Nothobranchius furzeri: one gene and its partner. Each later gene encodes a partner of the first gene's protein in a complex. Links are inferred from orthologs where the notes say so. Each region holds a gene or a part of one and is shown on either strand. Other genes may lie near its edges.

Region 1 (3,825 bases):
GGTACGACCTGACCATGGATTTGAACCCACGATCCCCCAGTTCCAGGGTGGACATTACCACTCGGTCACTGAGCTGGTAACCCAGAAACTGGCATATTATGTCACTGCCTGCATGCTCATTTATTAAGACAATGCTTTGGGGCAACATCCTGGATGAGCAGAATGTTGGTGATGCAAGTAGAGGAATATGTAGCCCTTTGGAATAATACAGGTAGACAGGATATTTCATCTGCACCATCCTCTGTCTGCTAGTACTGAATCATTATTTAGATGTGGTCCTAAATGTCTTGTTTTGTATTTATCTCATCATTCATTGCACCCATTTTTTCTTGCATCTCGTGAGCATCATTGTTAGCAGTATATAAGCTCTTGATTTCCTGGATGAAAGCTGAGATTGGTGTTTGGGTCCAGTCTAATCAGCAAGTGTCGTTTCAGACTTAATTTGAGTACAAAGTGACATATCCATCGATCCATCCATCCATCCATTTATTTTCTGAACCCGCTTGTCCATGTAGGGTCGCGGGGGGCTGGTGCCTATCTCCAGCGGTCAATGGGCAAGTAGGCGGGGTACACTCTGGACAAAGAGCCAGTCCATCCCAGGGCAACACAGAGACACACAGGACAAACAATGAAGCATGCACACACACACTCAGGACAATTTAGAGAGACCAGTCAACCTGACTATCGTGTTTTTGTGGGAGGAAGCCGGAGTACCCGGAGAGAACCCACGCATGCACAGGGAGAACATGCAAACTCCATGCAGAAAGATCCCAGGCCGGGAAGCGAACCCGGGACCTTCTTGCTGCAAGGCAACAGCTCTAACCACTGCGCCACTGCGCAGCCCTCAAAGTGACATAAATAATGTTAATTCATTGTTTTTAAAGGCATGGGACTCAGAGAAATCATGTAATAATCGTTCTTTATGAAATTCAGTCGGTCACTCTGAGTTTCACATGCACGCTGAATGTGAAAACATTCTCCAGCCCCCAATTCTTGCATTAGCTGCAAAAAGGAAACTGACAATTAAACGATTGGGTCAGAAAAAGCCAGTCTCTTACATGTCACGGGGGAAATTCATGGCCCCGCCTTGGCTTAGGACTGCCCCCAGGAAGGAGAGAGCAAAGTCCATCCTGACTATCCATCCATCCATTTTCTGAACCCACTTTGTCCACGCAGGGTCGCGCGCCGGGGGGTGGGGGGGGGGCTATCTCCAGCGGTCAACGGGCAATCGGGTGGGGTACACCCTGTACAGAGAGCCAGTCCATTGCAGAGCAACACAGAGACACACAGGACAATCGATCAAGCACACACACACTCACACCTAAGGACAATTTAGACAGACCAATCAACCTAACAGTCATGTTTTTGGACTGTGGGAGGAAGCCGGAGTACCCGGAGAGAACCCACATATGCACAGGGAGAACATGCAAACTCCATGCAGAAAGATCCCAGGCTGGGAAGCGAACCCAGGACCTTCTTGCTACAAGGCAACAGCTCTAACCACTGTGCCACTGCGCAGCCCCGTCCTGACTAGCAGAAGCTAACTGTTAGCATTAACAAATCCACAACATAGCGTCACATGTTAATGCTTGTGATGTTTGTGGAGATAAAACATCAATGTTGCACTTTTTACCCAAGAAAGACGAGCGACTGGAAGCAGCAGAACAGTCCTGTTGCTGTCAGCCAATCAGAGGCCAGTAACGGCCAAAATCTAGACGTTTAGCCCACCACCTTATTTAGATGCTGGAATGTCATTAATAACGTGAGCTGATGCACTAAATGTCTGCAGCTGAATCTGTTTTTGAACACTAAATTAAAGTTAAAGCACTGGTCAATGTTTAAATCAGACATCCAACTAAAGTCAAACAAATCAATTACCCAACCAACAATTAATTATTCTCAACGGGTTCTTACAAATAAATTGTAGTTAAATATTAATGTTAGAACATTTCAGATGTTATTCAGGAACATAAATATACCTTTAAATTCTGCAGCAGCTCCAGGCTGCCCTGGGATATGCCTGACTTTAAATCGACTTTACTAAGGAGGAATGTCGGCCGATGCCGATTATATAAAAATATCAGATATCGGCCAGCTGATACATCGCTCTGCTCCTAGTTAAAACATTGTTAAGAGGCATGAAGATTGTCTAGAAGCTAGCTTGTTTTGTAGATTTGCTGCAGCCAGCTGTCTAGATCAGACCGGTTTTCTCCATGAAGGTTTTTGTCACCAAAGAAGTTTACCCTCGTCAGAGCAAACAGTTGCCGGCTGTTTCACGAGATATTTAACGCTTGAATGAATTTGTGAAACAGACCGTGCTCTAGAACGTTTGACTTGAGCACAAAAAATCCTCCAAGCTTTGTTTAAAAAATGCACTTTAATATTTTCATGGAGCAATAAAAATAGCTTATCTAGACAAAGTTATGTTGGCGCCGCTTTATTTAGTGGCTTTCCTCACGAGAAGGAACGTGTTGCATTTTGTTTTGTAACCTTTTATCTTCAGGAGAAGGAGGGAATTCAGTGGGAGGCCAAGGATGAGGAGGAGGAGGAAGAGGAGGCTGCAGGTGAGGAGGAGGATGACCACATGGAGTTTTGCAGAGTGTGTAAAGATGGAGGAGAGCTCCTGTGCTGTGACACGTGCCCTTCGTCCTACCACATCCACTGCCTGAACCCACCTCTTCCTGAGATCCCAAACGGGGAATGGCTGTGTCCTCGCTGCATGGTGAGCTCAGTCCAGATATGTTTAATGCTCTGTATCCTCACAAGCTGGTGTTCATCAACGTTTAGTCCTTTTTTGCTTTGGTTAAGTGGTTTAAACAACATGCATTACTTCTGTTCTTGCTCAGTGTCCTCCTCTCAAAGGAAAAGTTCAGAAGATTCTGCACTGGAGGTGGGGAGACCCTCCGCTGCCGTCGGAATCTCCTGCACATCCTGTTGGCAAGCTGCCTGATCCCATGGCCAAGCCCCCCCTCAAGGGCCGCCCAGAGAGGGAGTTCTTTGTAAAGTGGGCTGGCCTGTCGTACTGGCACTGCTCCTGGGTCAGCGAGCTGCAGGTGAGACGCCAGAGGTGGAGCCGGTTTCCAAAACCAGCATTTAGCAACAGTAACGATCTGTCTTCTGTGATGAATGTGGGACACAGGAAAGTCGGGGGGTTACTGAACATTATTTGGTATTTTAGGTTTTCACAAAAACAAACATCTAGTTTCAGGAGCAAAAGTTACTCAGTTTAGTCACTGACTGTCCTATTTCCAAAGTAGAATGCAATACAATTTCTCTAAAAAATATCATTTTCTAATGAATCTGTTAAGGGCATACTATGCACATTTTTCACATTTTAGGCATTTTCTTGAGCCAGTATGTGCTAAAATGACCCTTTACAGGGTTAATGAAAGGCCATGCTGACCCCCATGCCCTCTGTGGCCAGAATGCTGCCGTGCAACCTCAGAGTATCTGGACCGGTCTGTTATGGGCCATTCCCATCTGTACCGGGTCGGCCCGGGCTGGGTAGCCCCAGTCGGCCCCAGCCTGGCCCGGTTGATTCCACACATCCTTGTCTTAAGCCCATGTGGGCTGATTCTACCCACCAATCAGAGGCTTGCTCTAATGGAAGGTGTGGATTTACTGTCAGCAGTGGGTGTGTTGGCCCTGGTCGGCCTGAAGCAGACCCCCTCGAGAAGAGGGCTGAGAATGAGCCTTGGTTGGCCCGGAAAAATACCAGGCCGCCCAGATGTGTAAACAACCTACGCTACCCGGCCCGGGCCGACCCGGTACAGATGGGAATGGCCCATAAGTCAGTAGTAAAGTGGAGCTGACACGCTAGTGCTG
Region 2 (3,825 bases), on another chromosome or scaffold:
ATATTCAATGACACTTAAGCCGATATCTGATCACTTACTGTATTTTATCACTGACTGTCGCTAGGTGCCCTGCGGTTACCAGATAAGCCAAAAAAGACTCTGCAACAAAAACCCATGGAGCGTAAACCTCTGGAGTCTGTGGTCCGGTACTTAGGTAAGAAGAAACCACGCACCTGGTGAATCTGGAGGTGCTTTTTATTATCAAGTGATTTTTATTTGCTGATTTGGACAGATTTAGTCTAATCAGCAAGATGAAATCGTTTGTCTAACTTTACAGAAGCACATCCCCGTCCACCCAAGCCCGTACCCCTGACCCGAGGATGCTCCATCTCCACAGGCAGCTTGATGCCCATAAAGCCGTCCCCCATCCTCAACAACGGCTCCCCCACCATCCTAGGCAAACGCACCTATGAGCAGCACAACGGACTGGATGGTCAGTGGAACAGAGAGCTCCTGTTACAGCTCTACCGCACTCGTTATGTTTGCTAATATGTCCCGAAATAATCTAAATTACTTCACTTAATGCTGACTGGAGAAACTTAAGTTTTATTCATGCCATAATTAAAGGTATTTTCATAATTCTTAACTTAATGCTTAAATGTGGAAACTTGAACGTGAATCAAGTTTTTATTTGAGCTTTTGTCCCACTTTCCCTCTGAAATGAGACAGGGTAGAGAGAGAAAAGGTGAGGATGTGTTGGAGAAAGATGGAGAGGAGGAGATTGGAGCACCCTTGCTGCTTTAGCTGAAGACTGTTGTCATGGTAACATGGCAGCAAGGGAAAGATGAAGATGGCTGGGTTCCCTGAGGGAGGGATGGAAAGAGTACTAAAATTTCCTACTTAAGTACGAGTACCAATACTTGGATAATTTTTTACTCAAGTACAAGTAAAAAGTATCGTAAATAAAATGTACTCAAAGTAAAAGTTACTTGGTTACATTTTTGTCAGCGTGAAGATGGCTACATCGGTGCAAAATCACAACACCAGTTCACAACACGCTCGTGTCACGTACACACACTCACTGTTTGATGGAAGGGTTTCTATCCAATCAGTGAGAACGGGACGTGCACATTGATTGGACGAGGTTTTTCTAGGATTGTATTTGTATTAGGATTTGTGTTTAAAAATCTTTATTTTGAAAAAATAAAGAGTTTTTTTTAGCTCCCATCAGCATGTGAGGTATCTCAATGTTCTCATGACAAAAGTAACATGAGACTGTGCTCTAACCTGTCACATAACATAACAAGCTAAATAAAATTCGAACATTTCAAATGGACTGTATGACAGCCGCTAACGTTGGCCCTGCCCTACTTTACCTCTACATTACAGTTCCTTTATCTATGTCCATCCTAGAGCTCCTCTCTGACCTTCATGCTTATTTAGAGCAGCTGATTTTTAAAGTTAGAGTTCATCCTTGGTAGTGGGTTCACTCACTCATTTAACCCTTCACCACTGAAATCGGTTTGTTCATTCCAATCCTCCTAAATAATCCTCCAATCATCCAACTGGAATCCTTAAAGCTGGGCGTACACTGTGCGACTTTTTCACTTTTTTGAGCCGATTTTCCAGTCGTGCGAGAAGCCACGACATCGGGGCGAGTTTTGCGCCGAGCGGTCGTGTAGTGTACAGGGGGTTACGAGAGGCGATTAACACCACGTGACCAGCCGCCGATCAGCAGTCGTGAGGTCGCAGGGACTTCTGGTGTGTTTAATATTTCGCTCGTCCCTCGTGAGGGTATCGCACTGTTGAAGCGGCGCTGCGAGCAGCTACGATCCAAAAAGTATCAGAACCGCTCACGGCGCATGCGCGCGCAATCCTGCATCAACGCCGGCCGGTCGCTCGCTATTTCCCTAATAACACACGCTGTTCGTTTTTGTTTCTACACGTTTTTTTTACTCACAGAGATTGTCAAGAAAGCGTGTTTGTCGTGTTCATGTCAAATTAAACTGATCACAAAACACAGATTTACTCTCTTTATTTCGTTTTCCTCATCCAACCCCCATAAATCCCTGTGTGTCCTCCTGCAGCACTCCCGAAGGACAACAGGCAAGACAAAAAAGTCTGACGTGTTGAGTAAAAACTGCTATTTTTAGCACATTTTTAGGGCCGACGTGTTGCTACCAGACGTACAGTGTGAGCAGTCAGGTCGCATGCGAGAACAGGGTCGTACAGTGTGAGCACACGACTCGTGAGATCTGCCCTGCGAGGAAGTCGTACAGTTTGAGCTGAAGCTGAACGCTGCGAGTGAAAAAGTCGCACAGTGTACGCCCGGCTTAAGGGTCCCGTAACGTCCATCCTGTCAGAGCAGGCCTTGGGAGCCCAGGTGTTACTAGAACTAACGGTGTCTCCTCACCAGCGTGAGCCTCCAAACTGTGAAGGTTGGTCTCCAAACATGAACTTTAAATTCATGCATTTATCTCCTCTTGTAACACTTTAACATGTTTTAAAAGGCTTGTATCATGATATGGTACACCTCCCAGACCAAAGAAAAGTCCAATATAAGATAATTATCATAAATACTGCAGAGACGTCATTATTTATGAAATACAAGTTATTTTGTTCACCATTACTTCAGCCAAGAAATAAGATGCATGGATTTGATGAAACCATGCTGTCTTATGCAATCCTAAATGTGTAACACACACACACACACACACACACACACACACACACTGCAGCATGTTAGAATCATTTCAATGACTAATTTAACTACATTGAACTGCTTTTGTAATAATTTAATCTCTTATTCTGGAGTAAAATAAAGAAACAAGCTAAATCATCACATATCTGTGGCATCAAGGAGCATATTCTGAGTTCAAACACAGAGATGGAGCACAACGTTTACACCTGAACAGTGTCAGGATGTTTTAACTCAGAGGCCTGCAGGTCTTCTGTTTTATGAGCAAAGCTCTGAGAATCCGTTTGTTATGAGCGCTAAACGTTATTTTGCCACTACTGTGCGGAGCGGTTGGGGAAACACATTTCAAACACGGAACCGAGTCCAGCTACCGAACCGAGCAGAATTCTGATGACGTAACACCGGTGCGCGAAGGTGCGGGTTCCAACCTACGAGAGGAGGGAGAGAGCGAGTGGATCACAGGGGCTGAACTGATGTTTTTGAGCAAAGTGTACACCCACACCCCCACGGTTTAGACGCGGTGCTCATGCAGGCGTCTCTTTCTGTTCCGACGCTGCTACATGCAATGTTTTTAATTTATTAAGCCTATAATTTGTTTTTACTTAGTAACGGTTATGATTTAAAATGTAGTGAATACAATTCTTTTTAAAAAACATACTCAAGTAAAAGTACAGCTTTTAAAAATGACTTAAAAAGTATAAACACAAAAAAAGCTACTCAATTACAGTAACGTGAGTAAATGTAATTTGTTACTTTCCACCTCTGGTGTTTGGCAATTTTGTGAATACATCTAAAACTATAGAAGCCATTTAAAGAGCATTTCCCAGTCAAAATGTATTTAAAACAGTACAAAACCTTTCAATTGTTATGTTGTGTTATGATTCTTTTTCCAAACAATCCAACAAAATATTTCTTATAAAATAAATGAAGTAGAAGATATTTTAAATCATTTACAAGCTAAATGTGATGAAAAACAAAATTCCAATGATTTAGCAGATCAAAGGGATCTACTTACGTTAGCGGAGTGTGTGCTGGAATAGGAACATGTGTTGTTTGTTATTGCATTGTTATTATTCATAGAACTATGTTTATTTACATGTCTAAAGGGGCAGCAGTAGCTCAGGAGGTAGAGCAGGTTTCCTCATGATCGGAGGGTCATGGGTTCCATTCCAGCGCCCACCAGGGGT

The links.
Region 2: chd5 (region 1) and mta1 share a complex: the UniProt entries of both Homo sapiens proteins name them as parts of the nucleosome remodeling and deacetylase (NuRD) repressor complex. The link is inferred for Nothobranchius furzeri from reciprocal best matches to the Homo sapiens genes CHD5 and MTA1.

What each region holds. Positions count from the first base shown.
Region 1 is NC_091743.1:75,305,044-75,308,868, forward strand, and holds part of chd5 (chromodomain-helicase-DNA-binding protein 5), read left to right. Parts: intron 1-2,503; coding exon 2,504-2,722; intron 2,723-2,846; coding exon 2,847-3,053; intron 3,054-3,825. UniProt on the Homo sapiens protein: ATP-dependent chromatin-remodeling factor that binds DNA through histones and regulates gene transcription. May specifically recognize and bind trimethylated 'Lys-27' (H3K27me3) and non-methylated 'Lys-4' of histone H3.
Region 2 is NC_091758.1:21,721,488-21,725,312, reverse strand, and holds part of mta1 (metastasis-associated protein MTA1), read left to right. Parts: intron 1-64; coding exon 65-154; intron 155-277; coding exon 278-433; intron 434-3,825. UniProt on the Homo sapiens protein: Transcriptional coregulator which can act as both a transcriptional corepressor and coactivator. Acts as a component of the histone deacetylase NuRD complex which participates in the remodeling of chromatin.